Cricetulus griseus: one gene and its partner. The main gene of each other region encodes a partner of the protein of the gene in region 2 in a complex. Links are inferred from orthologs where the notes say so. Each region holds a gene or a part of one and is shown on either strand. Other genes may lie near its edges. The genes, in order: Mmp2 and Timp2.

Region 1 (4,373 bases), on a different chromosome or scaffold from region 2:
AACCTGAAGTGACTTATGTAGATATAAAGTAAGTACATATGGTCATACATCACAAAAATAACATTGAAGTCACAACAGACCATGATGGTCCCATGTGACAGTGGTCCCATAAGGCCAGATTGGCTGGTTACTTTGTAACCTTCTCAACTTGTGTAAGGAGTCTGTGTTCACACAGTGATGATGAACTTCTACAAAATATACATTTTTGGAACGTGTACCTGACATTAATCAATATATAGCTATAACAGTAGAAGAGGGACACAATGATGGCTAAAATCAAGATAATGGACATGGGTGAGGGGATGATGGTTGACTGGCCTGTGGAATGTGGAGGGGGAAAGCATAGCAGGAACCTAGGTAGGCTGGGGGTCTGGGTAGGATAAGGGTTGGGTCCAGGGTAGCTGCTCACCTTCATGGGGGCAGAAGCCGTACTTGCCATCCTTCTCGAAGTTGTAGGTGGTGGAACACCAGAGGAAGCCATCGCTGCGGCCGGCATCAGTGCAGCTGTTGTATTCCCGGCCATTAAACAGGAAGGGGAACTTGCAGTACTCGCCATCAGCATTTCCATACTTTACCCGGACCACTGCAGGGCATACAGAGATGGAACACACCTCTCCAGGGCCTTCATCAGACACTAGGCTGTGGGCTCACCCTGGAAGCTGACTTCCCTACCCCTCTCAATGCCCCGATCCCATCAGAACAGAAGAAAGGCTTAAGGTTGGTTTTGGTTGCTAGGGGACAGAGAAGCAAGCCAGTAGAGGCTATCTTACCTTGCCCTTCCCCCAGGGTCCACAGCTCATCGTCATCAAAGTGAGAGTCTCCCCCAACACCAGTACCCGGGGCGAAGGCATGTGCCAGGAGTCCATCCTTGCCATCAAATGGGTATCCATCTCCATGCTCTGAAACCCACATTGATTCTTAGCTCTTAGCATTCCTCACTCCCACCACTTGGTCCTTAAGTCTAGTCACAGCCTAAGCTGTGTCCTCTGTCCTCCAAGCACCTGTCCCCTTCCCTTTTCCCATTGTGGTTATCTAGGATAGGCATTGCAGGGAGTTAATGAAAAAGCTCTGGCTTGGTTGCTACCATTCTGTGGCCCAAACTACTCTCAAGTCCACATGGTCCTCTTCACCTGCACCACTGACCTCTGCTGTCTTCATTGATCTCAAAATCACTGTGCCCATCCACACGCCTCCAGTGCCACTAAGGCATGCTAACCACGTGCTTTCCTGACACCCATGACCTCCCATCAACACTGTCTTCCTCACCATGCCCTACTCTCCTGGCAGATTGTCATCACTACCCAGAGAGCTGGCCCTCAGGCCCACTGTGACAGCATGCTCACCTTACTTACTCCCATGTCTACACTGTTCTTCCCCTCCATCTGCCTTCATTGCTTTACCACCTGGTATCTATACCACCAGCCTTCATATTTACACTGCAACCAGTTCATACCAACAGCTTAAAGATGGTGGTTTGACCCCAGATTCTATTCCACTTCCTCCTATGTTGCTCTTGTGACAACTGAATTTTAATTAAAAAGGTCTTTCATATTACTTTAAGTCCAATAAGCCACTTAGGGGCTGTCATTTAGAGGGTGCAGTAGATTTTCACTGTGTACACTGCAGTGCATTCTCTGCTCTCACAGCCGTGGCTCTCCAGGGTCTGGGCAGTGTTCTGCTATTTCCATCTAATCCACATCAAGTGTCTACACCTTCTTGGTAAGCTGCCCTCAGGATCCCCAAATGTTTCAAAAGTCTACATGGCCCTGCTGTCTCTATGTTGACCCACTTTCCAGCCCCCCTTCTGCCTACCCCAGCGACCAAAGTTGATCATGATGTCAGCTTCCCCGTCATGGATTCGAGAAAAGCGTAGTGGAGTCACATCACTCCATACTTGTAAGGCCCGAGCAAAGGCATCATCCACTGTCTCGGGGTCCAGGTCAGGTGTGTAACCAATGATCCTAGAGAGGGGAGAAATGCATGTGAGTGTGCATATGCAACCGTGCAAATGTCTACGTGCCCAGTGTGTGTGCATGAGTGTGTGCCTAAGTGCCCTGATGTTTCCAGAATCCCAGACTTTCTCATCTCTCACTTCTGTCTGGGACAAGGGCACCAGAGACCTAAACAGCAAATAGCAGACAAAAGGCAGAGATCTCACCCTTGATAAACACCAGCTACACAGGATAGAGCTCTTAGCCTAATTAGCAACCAATCATAACAACACAAGATTAAAAGCACAATTATCAGCTGCTCATCAAACTTCCTTGACCTACTCCAATGACCCAAGTGATAATATCACCAACACTTACTAGACCCTTTCTCTGTAACAAACATTGTAGAAGCCCTTGATTTACATGTAATCTAATTTAGTTCCCCAATCACCCCTATGAGAAGTAGATTTTTTAGCCCTCTTTCATAAGCAAGGATACCAACTCAGACTGCACGAGAATAAGACCAGTGCCCCAAGATTAGTGAGTATGAGACTCAAGTCTAGGTCTGCCTGGCTTGTCACCAAGAACTCTGTATGAAGAGTCTCTGAATTTTCGTATTTCAGTAATGACACTTTATGGGCCCCCTGAATTGGAAAGGCAAGTCCCAAGAAGACTCACATCCCTCAGGCTGCTGGCCCTGCATCCCCAGCCCCCCCCCCTTGGCACCTGTATGTGAGCTGGTTCTTGTCCCACTTGGGCTTTCGGGGAAAGAAGTTGTAGTTGGCCACATCCGGGTTGCCACAGCGTGGCTTCCGCATGGTCTCGATGGTATTCTGGTCAAGGTCACCTGTCTGAGGCAGCCCAAAGAATTTCTGCATCTTCTTGAGGGTGTCCTTCAGCACGAAAAGATTGCAGCTCTCCATGGGGCAGCCGTAGAAAGTATTCAAGTATTGCTGAAAGAGACAGGTAGTCAGTCTCAAAGCTAGGAGCCACATTGGGATGGCAAAGCACACAGTCCCAACTACTCCCCAAACATCCCCTACTTGGGACAGAACAGAATCAAGGAGTCCAAGGACACAGAGTGGAGTCTTAGGCTCCCAAATGAGTTCTGTCACTGGATGGCATGCACCTGTAAATGGCGTGGTTACCAACTTTTTTTCTCTGAATGTAGCAGATGTTATGTACCACCCACTATATATAAGACAGCTTAAAAGAGTTGCTTGATATGAAACCACTCACACATGGCAGCTCTGGATTTGACACCAAGCAGTGTACTCCAGAGCCCATGCTTGAACCCTGATACTCCAGCATCTATCTGGTTGAACCTCCCAACAGGCCTAGGCATACATTGCCCTCCTCCTTCTTTCTTTCTTTCTTTCTTTCTTTCTTTCTTTCTTTCTTTTTCTATAAAGAAATCCAAGAATTTTGTGCATGGGATTTGGTAGCATACCTGTGTTCAAATTTTCACCCACAGTTTCTCAACAGAGACAAGTCTTATTCTTCAGAGGGTCTGCCCTAAACTAGCAGCCAGCTGCTCAACAAACATTGTTTGATGCCTGCCCCCAGTCAATTATCCTTGTTCTATTGCCAGGGTAAACTGATGATCAAGACAGGCACTTCTAGTCTGTAAGATCCAAAACCCAGTGCAGGAACGTGAGTGGAAATCACAAAGAAACGAAGAATTAAATATGTGGGAAGGGCTGGCTGGAGCGGTGAAAGGAACCAGAAGTGATGCTGACTGGTTCTCACATCCTTGGAGGCAGTACACAAAGCGGGGGAAGGAGGGCATGACAGTAGTGCTGATAATGGCAATATAACAGTCCTAATGCCCGATGTTTACTGAGTGCTTCCCCGGTGCCAAATGCTCGTCTAAGTATCTGAGAGCACCTGCCCACTTATCACAAAGATGGATGGGTGCCGTTCTGACCCTCTGACTTCAAAGAAATGGCCACTCCTGAAGTTACATCAGTCATCAGTGATCACCAGGCCAGTAGGTTAATACACTCCCTGAGAGGGTTTGCAGGGAGTAGTATTTAAGTTCAAAGTGCCCCCCCTTTTTTTTCTTTCTTTTTGTTTTATGTCTTTTTCATTTTCAAGTCCAAGCTCAAGTTGAACCGAGGACCCTCCTGTCCCAGTTTCCCCAGGACTGACTTCACAAGTGTGCACCACCATGATTGATTGCAACCCCCCACCCCCACCCTGCTTGTTAACTTCTCTCCACTTGCACTACCTCTGGGCAACAAAGGCTTCGGCTACAGAAGGCGTGAATACCCAGGTAACTGCTCAGAAGTTCCACTCTTAATATCAGCCATTGGATGCATCACTGCTTTTAGACCCTTGAAAAAAGTAGCACTGTGAATACTTAAAGATTGCCCAACCCATCTACCCAGAGAGTATGGAGGCTGTAAAGGGAGGGCTGTGGAGAGACAGTTGGTGTCTCAT
Region 2 (3,811 bases):
GCCAGAACATAACCCCAGAGTCACTGGAGGGTTTCATTTATTTCTCAGCATCTGACTCATTTCAGGGGTATGCCTGCTCTTCAGGGGTATGCCTGCTGCCCCTCAGAGGAAGACACCTAGATGTGTGTGGGGGTTTCACCCCGCTCCCCTTTTACTCACACCCTTCCCGACACCCCAGAAGAGGGTTTTCGTTTGCCTCTTCCTTCCTTCCTTCCTTCCTTCCTTCCTTCCTTCCTTCCTTCCTTCCTTCCTTCTTTCCTTCCTTCGAGTTTTAAATATTTATTTTTATTTCTACTTCCATGGTGTGTTTGTGTCTGTGTGTCTGCTACCATGAGGTGCCCTCAGAAGCCAGATTCCCCTCAAGCAGGGCCGGCAGGCAGTTGTGAGCTGCCTGACATGGGTGCTGGGATCCTAATTCTGGAGGAGTAGTCAGTGCTCTTACCCACTGAGCCTTCAGGCTGCAGTCCCTCTCCAGGACAAAACGGCTTTGGGGAGCTCAGTTCTAACGCTGTAGGAAGGAAGGTTGCCAGGGCAACAGAGTCACTTCCTGGTATTAAGCCACGAGGAGGTGATGAGGTTACGCAAGCCCACCTGCTTCTCTGCCTCAGAAGGAGACTTTGGTATTGAGAGTTAGTCGTTCCTGAGGTGACACATGGGATGAGGAAGTGCTCGCTCCTCTGGCCTGTTGATAATATTTATTTTCAATTTTGGTAAATAAGGATGTCTACAACCACTACTGCATGACAAAGCTGTCCCTAACACTGGAGGAGCCAGCTGTCTTTCTTTGAATACCAAGTTAGTAAATGTCAACTACCAGAGCAGGCATGTACCACCCTACCTAGTTTTGTAATTCCAGGGATCAAACTCAGGGCTTCATGTGTGCTCGGTAAGCATGCTACCAACTGAGCCATATCCCCTGCCTCTCCCTTAACATCTCTCTCTCTCTCTCTCTCTCTCTCTCTCTCTCTCTCTCTCTCTCTTCGTGTGTGTGTGTGTGTCTGTCTGTCTGTCTGTCTGTCTGTTTCTCTCTCTCTCTCTCTCTCTGTCTGCCTCTCTCTGAGTATCTCTGTCTCTCTCTGTCTGTCTCTCTCTCTAACACTGGTTCTTCCCATTTGTCTCTGACACACAAAGTACTCTGAATATACTAGCAGACACCACCACAGCCACGACTGGGGCCATCTGCAGTTCCCCGACCACAGCCCTGTCCGCTCAATGGGCTACCTTCTCAGTAAATGGCCCACCACAGTCAGGAAGCTGCCCTCAAGTACAACTGACTGCCAGACTCTTCCTCTTATGACATGCTACCCCCAGGTTTATCACCTGGTAAAATCAAGCTAGTCTGTTTCTGGAATTAGGGTGACATGGTGGTTTGAATGAGAACGGGCCCATGGGGTCAAATATGCAAATGCTTGGTCCCCTAGTAGGTAGAACTGTGTGGGAAGGATTAGGAGGTATGGCTTTATTGAAGGAGGTCTGTCACTGAGGGTGGGCTTTGAGGTTTCAAAAGCTCATGCCAGGCCCAATGTCCCTCACTCCACCTGCTGCCTTAGGGTCAGGTTGCAAAGCTCTCAGCTACTGCTCCAGAACCATCCACGTCTGCCTGCCTCCCACCATGATGACCACGGACTCATCTTCTGAAACTGTAAGCAGGCCCCTGTTTAATATGCTTTCTTTACAAGACTTGCTTTGGTTCCTGTGCCAAGCATAGGACAGTGACTGAGGCAGCTGAAAACCTCACATTTCTGCCAGCCTTTCATGTTCTTGTGGCTTAAGGAGAACTGGGCTTCTTTGTGGCTTGACAGCTCAGCTTTCTGGCTTACGGTGGCTGGGAGGCGTTCCAGGACCCCATCCCTGCTTCCCCCACCAAACCAGGGGCTACCTTTATCTGCTTGATCTCATATTGGATCCTCTTGATGGGGTTGCCGTAGATGTCGTTCCCGGAATCCACCTCCTTCTCGCTTACTGCTTTGGCCCTGATCACTGCAAAATACAGAGACACAGATGAGGAGAGTCCCGGAGGACCAGGATTCAGGCTCTGCCCAGGGGAGGAAGGTGTCCCTCCCTACTGGAGGTACAAAGGGAGGTGGGTCTATTGCCCAAACACTGTAACCTGAGGGGGTCAGAGGAGTTGGGTTGGCACAGGAAGGAGAGGAGACTCTGTAGCTTGTTGTCCTGGGTTGGTTAGCAAGAGTTCTTTGCTGTGGCTGGGATGTGATTCAATTGGCCGAGTGCTTGACTAGTATGCACAAAGACCTGTGTTCAGTCTCTAGCACCAAGTAAAAGTGGGCGCAGTGACACACACTTTTAACCCCAGTCCTTAGGACATGGAGTCAGGAGGGTCAGAACTTCAAGGACAGCCTGGGCTAATAAAACCCTGCCTTACCAGGTGGTGTGTATATGTGTGGTGGGGGACACGCCTTTAAGCCCAACACTCAGGTAGATCTCTGAGTTAGAAGCCAGCCTGTTCTACAGAGTGAGTTTCAGGGCAGTCAGGGCTACACAGAGAAACCTCTTGTCAAAAACAAAAATAAAAAAAAACAAAACAAAACAACAACCACAAACCTGACTCAAAGACAAAATCAAAAACCAAAAAGCTGGCCAGGCATTGGTGGCACAGGCCTTTGATCCCAGAACTTGGGAGGCAGAGGCAGGTGGATCTCTGTGAGTTCGAGACCAGCCTGGTCTTCAAGAGCTAGTTCCAGGACAGCCTCCTAAGCCACAGAGAAACCCTGCCAGGAAAAACAAAACAAAATAAAACAAAATACCAAAAAGCTGGGTGTGATGACTCACACCTTTAACTCCTGCACTTGGAGCAGAGGCAGGTGGATCTCTGCGAGTTCAAGGCCAGCCTGGCCTACATAGTGAATTCCAGGACAGCAAGGGCTACAAAGTGAGACCCTGTCTCAAACAAAACCACCCCAAACAAAACCCAAACCAATGTATCCCAAATGAATCATTTGTTGACTAGGGCCATAGGCGGCTCTGTACAGCGGTAGGCTGTGGCCATGGGTCAGGTTCTTCCTACCTACTGGTGACTAGAGAAACAGTAAACAAATGGCCTAGCATATAGTCCTGCCCCTGCAGGTAGGGCTGGTGGAGAGGTGACTCTGTCATGCCAGCATCTCATCCTCAAACAGACTTTGGAGGCTCAAGAAGATGGGCAGCCATCCACCGCAAAGGAGCCTGGTTATTCAGATTTGGGGTCTCCACAGGGGTGGGGGGGTCCTGGAGCACAGCCCAGAGCAAAGCACCGGCCTAGCATTCAAGAGGTTCAGAGATCCCTCTCTAGAAGTTTCCGTGTGAGATGTCGTATGGGACAAGCGTGTGAAGGTCATGTATCATTTCTCAGGCGCCACCTGCCTTGGTTTTTGGGTGTTTTTTTTTTTTTTCTCCATTTTTATTTGTTGGGGGTGGGCAGGGTTTGCACATTGCCGGATACAGCCAACATGTCAAAGTCAGAGGACGCCTTATGGGAGTCTCTCCACCGAGTGGGTTCCAGGGATGGAACTGAGGTGAACAGGCTGTGGCAAGCAAGCGCCTTTACACACTGAATCCTGTCACTGAATTCCCCACCTTATTTTTTGAGACAGGATGTCTCATTGGCCTGGAGCTCACTGGCTGGCTTGCCAGCAAGCCTCTGCGTTCAACTGTGTCTTCCTTCCCAGTGCTGGGATTATAATCACAGGCCACCAGCCATGGCTTTGTGAGACATTCTTTAAAGTAACATGTATTCTGAGAAGCGTGACAGGCGTGGAGTCGGAATGCATATCATGCAGGCTATGGATCTGGTCAGTAGTGCTGTCAAACCTTA

Evidence for each region.
Region 1: the proteins of Timp2 (region 2) and Mmp2 are in contact, whole or in part, in a crystal structure (PDB 1GXD), measured with the Homo sapiens proteins. The link is inferred for Cricetulus griseus from reciprocal best matches to the Homo sapiens genes TIMP2 and MMP2. Residues at the interface, in NP_003246.1 of Homo sapiens: Ile162, Pro163, Cys164, Tyr165, Ile166, Pro169, Leu173, Met175, Val178, Thr179, Phe191, Arg196, Asp198, Ser200, Cys201, Ala202, Trp203, Tyr204, Arg205, Ala208, Lys211, Gln212, Glu213, Phe214, Leu215, Asp216, Glu218; in NP_004521.1 of Homo sapiens: Trp574, Lys576, Asn577, Lys579, Tyr581, Phe588, Arg590, Lys595, Asp599, Phe602, Lys604, Ile606, Ala607, Asp608, Ala609, Trp610, Asn611, Ala612, Asp615, Tyr636, Leu638, Leu645, Lys646, Ser647, Val648, Lys649, Phe650, Gly651, Ser652.

Annotation. Positions count from the first base shown.
Region 1 is NC_048596.1:168,542,335-168,546,707, reverse strand, and holds the start of Mmp2 (72 kDa type IV collagenase), read right to left. Parts: upstream 2,871-4,373; 5' UTR 2,855-2,870; coding exon 2,658-2,854; intron 1,962-2,657; coding exon 1,813-1,961; intron 900-1,812; coding exon 771-899; intron 584-770; coding exon 410-583; intron 1-409.
Region 2 is NC_048600.1:130,872,376-130,876,186, forward strand, and holds part of Timp2 (metalloproteinase inhibitor 2), read right to left. Parts: intron 1,981-3,811; coding exon 1,880-1,980; intron 1-1,879. UniProt on the Homo sapiens protein: Complexes with metalloproteinases (such as collagenases) and irreversibly inactivates them by binding to their catalytic zinc cofactor. Known to act on MMP-1, MMP-2, MMP-3, MMP-7, MMP-8, MMP-9, MMP-10, MMP-13, MMP-14, MMP-15, MMP-16 and MMP-19.